Linked DNA regions of Saccharomyces cerevisiae S288C. Each later gene encodes a partner of the first gene's protein in a complex. Each region holds a gene or a part of one and is shown in the gene's direction. Other genes may lie near its edges.

What was found. The genes of interacting proteins can lie anywhere in the genome.
Region 2: the proteins of FYV10 (region 1) and GID8 are in contact, whole or in part, in a cryo-EM structure (PDB 7NS3), measured with the Saccharomyces cerevisiae proteins. Residues at the interface, in NP_012169.1 of Saccharomyces cerevisiae: Tyr243 (codon at 3,261), Ile247 (codon at 3,273), Phe250 (codon at 3,282), Gln251 (codon at 3,285), Phe262 (codon at 3,318), Leu265 (codon at 3,327), Lys266 (codon at 3,330), Ser269 (codon at 3,339), Gly270 (codon at 3,342), Leu272 (codon at 3,348), Ile273 (codon at 3,351), Phe274 (codon at 3,354), Lys276 (codon at 3,360), Tyr277 (codon at 3,363), Gln310 (codon at 3,462), His314 (codon at 3,474), Lys315 (codon at 3,477), Ser316 (codon at 3,480), Leu317 (codon at 3,483), Pro318 (codon at 3,486), Phe344 (codon at 3,564), Arg346 (codon at 3,570), Tyr347 (codon at 3,573); in NP_013854.1 of Saccharomyces cerevisiae: Asn220 (codon at 2,803), Leu224 (codon at 2,815), Ile227 (codon at 2,824), Ser230 (codon at 2,833), Gln231 (codon at 2,836), Ala235 (codon at 2,848), Ala238 (codon at 2,857), Ser239 (codon at 2,860), Met245 (codon at 2,878), Gln246 (codon at 2,881), Leu248 (codon at 2,887), Glu249 (codon at 2,890), Leu250 (codon at 2,893), Met252 (codon at 2,899), Thr253 (codon at 2,902), Leu256 (codon at 2,911), Lys272 (codon at 2,959), Leu274 (codon at 2,965), Met357 (codon at 3,214), Ala366 (codon at 3,241), Asn367 (codon at 3,244), Ser368 (codon at 3,247), Val369 (codon at 3,250), Trp370 (codon at 3,253), Leu371 (codon at 3,256).

What each region holds. Positions count from the first base shown.
Region 1 is NC_001141.2:177,893-182,477, forward strand, and holds FYV10 (glucose-induced degradation complex subunit FYV10), read left to right. Parts: upstream 1-2,534; coding exon 2,535-4,085; downstream 4,086-4,585. Other genes in the region: SGA1 (glucan 1,4-alpha-glucosidase), read left to right, coding at 112-1,761; FMC1 (Fmc1p), read right to left, coding at 1,880-2,347; BMT5 (25S rRNA (uracil2634-N3)-methyltransferase), read right to left, coding at 4,225-4,585. UniProt on the Saccharomyces cerevisiae protein: Component of the GID E3 ligase complex recruiting N termini and catalyzing ubiquitination of proteins targeted for degradation.
Region 2 is NC_001145.3:538,189-542,201, reverse strand, and holds GID8 (glucose-induced degradation complex subunit GID8), read left to right. Parts: upstream 1-2,145; coding exon 2,146-3,513; downstream 3,514-4,013. Other genes in the region: GAT2 (Gat2p), read right to left, coding at 1-1,003; ERG29 (Erg29p), read right to left, coding at 3,651-4,013. UniProt on the Saccharomyces cerevisiae protein: Component of the GID E3 ligase complex recruiting N termini and catalyzing ubiquitination of proteins targeted for degradation.

The sequences.
Region 1 (4,585 bases):
ATCTCTTGGCTCTGGATCCGTTATCTGTTCTGTTACACAAGAAATCGTACATTTACAATATAGTGATAATCGTGGACTAGAGCAAGATTTCAAATAAGTAACAGCAGCAAAATGGCAAGACAAAAGATGTTTTATAACAAATTACTCGGCATGCTCAGCGTAGGATTCGGGTTTGCTTGGGCGCTCGAGAACATTACTATATACGAATTTGACTTTGGCAAGGGCATTCTCGATCAAAGCTACGGCGGTGTATTTTCAAACAACGGCCCTTCGCAAGTGCAGCTGCGGGATGCAGTCTTGATGAATGGGACAGTGGTATACGATTCAAACGGCGCTTGGGACAGTAGTGCGCTGGAGGAATGGCTCCAGGGACAGAAAAAAGTTTCCATCGAAAAAATATTTGAAAATATTGGGCCCAGCGCCGTGTATCCGTCTATTTCGCCTGGGGTCGTGATTGCGTCACCATCGCAAACGCATCCAGACTACTTCTACCAATGGATAAGGGACAGCGCGTTGACGATAAACAGTATTGTCTCTCATTCTGCGGGCCCGGCAATAGAGACGTTATTGCAGTACCTGAACGTTTCATTCCACTTGCAAAGAAGCAACAACACATTGGGCGCTGGCATTGGTTACACTAACGATACAGTGGCTTTGGGAGACCCTAAGTGGAACGTCGACAACACGGCTTTCACGGAAGATTGGGGTCGTCCTCAAAACGATGGGCCTGCTCTTCGAAGCATTGCCATCTTAAAAATCATCGACTACATCAAGCAATCTGGCACTGATCTGGGGGCCAAGTACCCATTCCAGTCCACCGCAGATATCTTTGATGATATTGTACGTTGGGACCTGAGGTTCATTATTGACCACTGGAATTCTTCCGGATTTGATCTATGGGAGGAAGTCAATGGCATGCATTTCTTTACTTTACTGGTACAACTGTCTGCAGTGGACAAGTCGCTGTCGTATTTTAACGCCTCAGAACGGTCGTCTCCCTTTGTTGAAGAATTGCGTCAGACACGCCGGGACATCTCCAAGTTTTTAGTGGACCCTGCGAATGGGTTTATCAACGGCAAGTACAATTATATTGTTGGGACACCCATGATTGCCGACACATTGAGATCCGGACTGGACATATCCACTTTATTAGCTGCGAACACCGTCCACGATGCGCCATCTGCTTCCCATCTTCCGTTCGATATCAATGACCCTGCCGTCCTGAACACGTTGCACCATTTGATGTTGCACATGCGTTCGATATACCCCATCAACGATAGCTCCAAAAATGCAACGGGTATTGCCCTGGGCCGGTATCCTGAGGACGTATATGATGGATATGGCTTTGGCGAGGGAAATCCCTGGGTCCTGGCCACGTGTACCGCTTCAACAACGCTTTATCAGCTCATTTACAGACACATCTCTGAGCAGCATGACTTGGTTGTCCCAATGAACAACGATTGTTCGAACGCATTTTGGAGCGAGCTGGTATTCTCCAACCTCACGACTTTGGGAAATGACGAAGGCTATTTGATTTTGGAGTTCAATACACCTGCCTTCAATCAAACCATACAAAAAATCTTCCAACTAGCTGATTCATTCTTGGTCAAGCTGAAAGCTCACGTGGGAACAGACGGGGAACTAAGTGAACAATTTAACAAATACACAGGGTTTATGCAGGGTGCCCAACACCTTACCTGGTCCTATACTTCATTCTGGGATGCCTATCAAATAAGACAAGAAGTTTTACAGAGTTTGTAGACAAAAAAAAAAATAAAAGGAAAGCGAGAAGTATACACAAGTGTATTTCCTAGATATTTACATCAAATATATATATATACTTATTTACAAAACTCTGATATTATAAATTGATTAGATACTATGTCGGAACGTCCAGCCCAACCACGTTTGCAGTTCTTTTCACTTTCTCATCCTGTGTCAACTTGTTGCCAGGATTGTATCTGTCGACCAGCTCCTCGTATTCTCTTTGGTTGTCCAAGAACTTGATGATGTCCAAAGCGTGTTCGAATATCTCGTCAACGTTTTGTCCCTGGGCCACCTTTTTCTCCCACTTTATATCGTTTTGTAATATGGAACGTAATGACTTAGAGTCGGCTATAAACAAATTCAAAGATCTGTCGCTTACCGGATCTAGTTTTTTCCATTTCTCTAACTGTCTGTTGATGTTCTCATGCGAGTCTCTCTGATTTTGTTTCTTAGCATATTCCAACTTTGTTATCATTGCCTTTCGTAGATTGCCCCAATTGACTATCTTGCTTGGCCTTTCATATTTCAGAATGGCTCTTATGAGTCCTCTATATGTGCGTAATGTTCTTGGTCTATCCATTTCCCTGGCACTCTCTCTTTCTCTCTCTTTTCAGCTTTTTGTTATCCACTTATCGCTGCAAATGAAACTCTAGTGCAATTTGAGATATTCACTTTTTGCAAAGGCGAAGAGAAGGGGGTGGTTAAATCTACAATTTCATACATAAAACAGAGAAAATGATTATAAATTATAGGAAAGTAGGTAAGCCATGGCAGAGAAATCAATATTTAATGAGCCTGATGTGGATTTCCATTTGAAATTAAATCAACAATTATTTCATATTCCTTATGAACTACTGTCCAAACGTATCAAGCATACTCAAGCGGTAATTAATAAGGAAACCAAATCACTACATGAACACACGGCCGCATTAAATCAAATATTTGAACATAATGACGTTGAGCACGACGAGTTGGCACTAGCAAAAATAACTGAAATGATTAGGAAAGTTGACCATATAGAAAGATTTTTAAATACGCAAATCAAGTCCTACTGTCAGATTTTGAACAGAATTAAAAAAAGGCTGGAGTTTTTCCACGAACTGAAGGACATCAAGTCACAAAATTCAGGAACATCGCACAATGGAAATAATGAGGGTACCAGGACTAAATTGATACAGTGGTATCAGAGTTATACAAACATTTTAATTGGTGATTATCTGACGAGGAATAACCCGATTAAATACAACTCGGAGACAAAGGATCATTGGAACTCTGGCGTAGTGTTTTTGAAACAGAGCCAACTGGATGATCTCATTGATTATGATGTCCTCTTGGAGGCTAATAGAATTTCGACTTCGTTACTACATGAGCGTAATCTCTTACCCCTAATTTCATGGATAAACGAGAACAAAAAGACACTGACCAAAAAGTCCTCTATATTAGAGTTTCAAGCAAGATTGCAAGAATATATTGAACTACTAAAGGTGGATAACTATACCGACGCTATAGTATGTTTTCAAAGATTCCTTTTACCATTCGTTAAGAGCAACTTCACCGATTTAAAATTAGCATCTGGACTTCTGATTTTTATCAAATACTGTAATGATCAAAAGCCAACTTCTTCTACCAGCTCTGGATTCGATACTGAAGAGATTAAGTCTCAAAGTTTACCAATGAAGAAAGATCGAATATTTCAACATTTTTTTCACAAATCTTTACCTAGAATTACCTCCAAACCTGCGGTGAATACAACAGACTATGACAAGAGTTCCTTAATAAATTTACAAAGTGGAGATTTCGAAAGATATCTGAATTTATTAGATGATCAAAGATGGTCGGTATTAAATGATTTATTCTTGAGCGACTTTTATTCCATGTATGGCATATCACAAAATGACCCTTTATTGATATACCTGTCACTAGGTATATCGTCTTTGAAGACAAGAGATTGCCTGCACCCTTCTGACGATGAAAATGGAAATCAAGAGACGGAAACTGCCACAACAGCAGAGAAAGAAGTTGAAGATTTACAACTCTTTACGCTACATTCACTAAAAAGGAAAAATTGTCCCGTTTGCAGTGAGACTTTCAAACCAATAACACAGGCATTACCATTTGCTCATCACATTCAGTCTCAATTATTTGAAAATCCAATACTATTACCAAATGGAAATGTTTACGACAGTAAAAAATTGAAGAAATTGGCCAAAACATTGAAAAAGCAAAACTTAATTTCTTTAAATCCAGGTCAAATTATGGATCCAGTTGACATGAAAATATTTTGCGAATCAGATTCTATCAAAATGTACCCAACCTGAAATAGTTTCAAGCTATATGCATTTTTTTATATAAAGATTTGTCCAACTTTCACAACTATTTTACAGATACTTACGCTATATAAGAATTAGGGAAAATGAAAGTTCTTTCATCAACATGGCGACATTCTTCCTTCTGTACTTAGTCTGAATCAGAATCTGTGTCTTTTTTGCTTTTACGGTTATGTTTTGAACTATTCGAGACATATTTACTAAAGATGTAGAACCTAGCATCACGTTCTTTCGCAGGTTTTGTAGTATCTTGTTCGCTATTCGTTCTCCGGTGATGATATCCTGGAAAATTTTCCCATTGGAATTTGCTCGATCTGCTCAGAGTTAGTCCATTTTTTTTGGCTAAAAGTTTGATTTGCCATGAATCATAGGGCTCTCCATCGAAAAGGGACAGTATGATGTTACCATAACCTTCGGCGGTCAATTTTTTAGCCTGGGGAGTATCCTCATTAAGATCATAGCCTTGCGTATAACGAAGAGTATCATTTTGA
Region 2 (4,013 bases), on another chromosome or scaffold:
AGGTGCTACTCTTTAAATCGGTATCCGAAGCATGCCTTTTATTGTCATAGAATGTTGGAAGATGTTGGGTGGAGATGGAGTCAGTTAATTCCTGTAAGGAAGGTAACTTTATCTTATTGGAAAACGGTGAAGAGCTCTCCTTTTCAGACTCTTGCTGCTTCAACTGTTGCTGCTCTTGTTGTCTGTCAGTAAGTAAAGAAGCCAGACGGTTTTCGATGGTTGTGATATGATTTTGTAAAGAATGGAAATTCTGAGTAGCAATACTCTGCCTGAAATGGGTAGAATTTGATAAAGATTTCAGTTTAGCTAATTCATCCATAGTAGATTGAATGTTTAGATCATTTGCTGTAGTGGTAAGTTCGTTGTTTTCAAAATGTTTAGAAAATGAAACTACCCTGTTAATTTCATGACAGGAACGTTCATCAATATTGTCCAGCACTTCATTCTGATTCGAGTTTACGGGTTTATCGTTATTAATGTTATCAGTACCAATGCCATTATTGGTTTTATTGTAAACTGGTACTTGTTGGAAATGAATATCAGTAGCAACAGGAGCATGCATTTGAGGGTGAATATTATTTAGCTGAAAGTGAGAAATATTGGGCGGCATGTGGGGATCCGGTATGATGCTGACCAGCCGCTGAGGAGCAGAAGGAATTTGGTGTGTATTTCTATAATGTGAGTTGTTGGATATTTGAATATTAACGGCGGGAAGAACAGAATTAATGTTGTTATTTTTTATAGTGTTGTTACTATGGTTGTTGTTATCATTATTGTTGGGATGATGATAGTAGTATGCGTAGTTGTTGTTTGCGCTGTTTATATGGGCATTCGGTCCATTATAATGCTGCAAGGGTAATGGAGAATTTATAGTTACAGTAGAATGCAAAGGATCTACTCTCGGAGCAGAATGGTCAAAAACAAGTTGTGGAGGACCGTATGTGAACCCGGGCAGTGCTTGTGGCTGTGTTTGAGAGAAGGGGTAGATATTGGGGGCTTGCATCTCGATGAAATTTTTTGAGACAAGTCGTAAAAGCCCTTTATTAAAGTGAAAACAAACAATTCACTATGAACGAAAACAATATTAGAGCAAAGGAAATCACTAAAAGTAGATGGAGAAAATAAAAAAACGCCGTGAACGGAAATAGAAGAAATATGAGGGGACGCAAGGAAGTAAAAGGACCAGGAAAGAAAAAATCCTCCTTCAATATATACCAAGATATACAAGAAACTGAAACTCAAAAAATAACTTTTATACAAGATTGCCGACACGAAGAAAGGAAACGATAGCCGAATGTCTTAATGCAATAACAACTGCATTAACAATTAAGCAAATTTAGGAAATTTGCTTATAACCTTATATTTCAAAATAACCGTTGAGTTTTAGCTTTTGCACAATTCCGCGCCGGGCCCCGCGCAGGGAAAATCGCAGCAGCCGGAAAAACCGCCATCCAGCACCTTCAGTTGGGGAAAGCAAAGCAACCGAACGAAACTATATCTGAGATAAGGGCGGTGCAAAAAGAATGTGAAACCACGCTTGAAAAATGAAGTCACGGTTACACTATCTCCAACTCTGCAGGGTACAGTGCTTCTGATCGTGCATCCTTTTGTGGTCTGGACCAGCGTCGACGCGGCGACAGAAGTAGCGATGTTTCGCAGTGATAGACGCGTAGCGGTACAGGCCTGCGGCGGCTGTTGTGCGGTGACGTGCCCATGACTCAACAAAAAAATAAAAATAAGCAAACGGAAAAACCATATTAGTTCCCCTTTCTGCTGCTCCTACTCCTGTGCGTTTTCTCTTGCGCTCCTTTTTTCCCTGTTTTATTTTTTTTGTGTTTTTCGCTCGGCTTGGGTTTGTGTGTACGGCCCTTTTTGGGATCCCGGAGTTTATTTGACTGTTGTCCGGATCCGTTCCGAGTGAATGGTAATCGCTCCATTGTGTTGCTGTTTATCACTATCAGTGTCGATCTCGCTTTCCTGACTCTGCCGGCGCGGTGCCCCGGTTCGTTGCAGGAGACATTTTGATGGTACATCATTTTTCTTGAAGCTAACATGTGTAATTTGGTCATTAAATTGCAAGCAAAGGGGCAGTAGAGACAAATATCAGCCGGATGAAGATATATTTGTGTGTGGTAACAAATAGAAATGACTATATCTACTCTTAGTAACGAGACCACGAAGAGCGGATCTTGCAGCGGCCAAGGCAAGAATGGTGGGAAAGACTTTACGTATGGAAAGAAGTGCTTCACGAAGGAAGAATGGAAGGAGCAGGTGGCCAAGTATTCTGCCATGGGCGAGCTATATGCAAATAAGACAATACATTATCCGCTGAAAATTCAGCCCAACAGCAGTGGCGGCTCGCAGGACGAGGGATTTGCTACCATACAGACCACACCCATAGAGCCCACACTGCCACGGCTTCTGTTGAACTACTTTGTTTCTATGGCATATGAAGACTCGAGCATTAGGATGGCCAAGGAGCTGGGATTTATACGGAACAACAAAGACATTGCGGTTTTCAATGATTTGTACAAGATCAAGGAGCGTTTCCATATCAAACATCTTATTAAGCTGGGGCGTATCAATGAGGCGATGGAGGAGATAAACTCTATCTTCGGGCTGGAGGTGCTGGAAGAGACTTTCAATGCTACGGGAAGTTATACGGGTAGAACTGACAGGCAGCAGCAGCAGCAGCAGCAGCAGTTTGACATAGATGGAGATTTACACTTCAAACTGCTGTTACTGAATTTGATCGAGATGATAAGAAGTCACCATCAACAGGAGAACATCACCAAGGATTCCAACGACTTTATACTCAATCTAATTCAGTATTCTCAAAATAAACTTGCAATAAAGGCTTCGTCAAGTGTCAAAAAGATGCAAGAGTTAGAATTAGCAATGACTCTGCTGCTTTTCCCCTTGTCAGATTCGGCGGACAGCGGCAGCATTAAGCTGCCCAAATCGTTACAAAATCTGTACTCGATATCTCTAAGATCTAAGATAGCAGATCTGGTTAATGAGAAGCTGCTGAAGTTTATTCATCCAAGGATTCAATTTGAGATCAGCAATAATAATTCCAAATTTCCAGATTTGTTAAATTCCGACAAGAAAATAATTACGCAGAACTTCACGGTGTATAACAACAATCTCGTCAATGGTTCAAATGGTACAAAAATAACTCACATTTCGTCTGACCAACCTATCAACGAAAAGATGTCAAGCAACGAGGTCACGGCTGCTGCTAATTCAGTTTGGCTAAATCAAAGGGATGGAAATGTTGGCACAGGTTCAGCGGCGACAACTTTTCATAACTTAGAAAATAAAAATTACTGGAATCAAACTTCTGAATTGCTTTCCTCTTCAAATGGAAAGGAAAAAGGTTTAGAATTCAATAATTACTACTCTTCCGAATTTCCCTATGAACCAAGATTGACGCAGATAATGAAACTGTGGTGTTGGTGCGAAAATCAGCTTCATCACAACCAAATAGGGGTTCCTAGGGTCGAAAACTGACATACATAGTACGTATATATTTATATATGTGTGTGTGCGTGTGCATGTGTGAGTGAGTGTGTGTGTGTGTGTGTGTGTGTGCCTACCTGCATGTATGCATTTAGCAATTGATTTTTCTTTTTTTTTTTTGGAAGCTTTCATAGTATGAATTCGCATTTTATCGTGTTTCCCGTATCAATCTTCAGGAAACATAATTGAACATCATCGATATTCAATGGCAGTAGTTCATCTTTATGATTGTAAATTTTGACACCGTTGGAAATCGTAAACTTTCTTGCCCCTTCACCGCCCTCATTCTTAATTATATCGCGATATATTTCGCAATCTTTAAAGTAGTGGTAAAGTCTCAGCCTCAATACACGCAAGGTAGTACCAAACTCAGGTCTTTTTTCATTTTCATAATCCTCTGGAGAAAATTCAACATGAAATTTTAATGGGGTGGACAGAAGTTCTTTCCCATCTACAATAACATTACATTCGACATCCAATTCTGATACAAA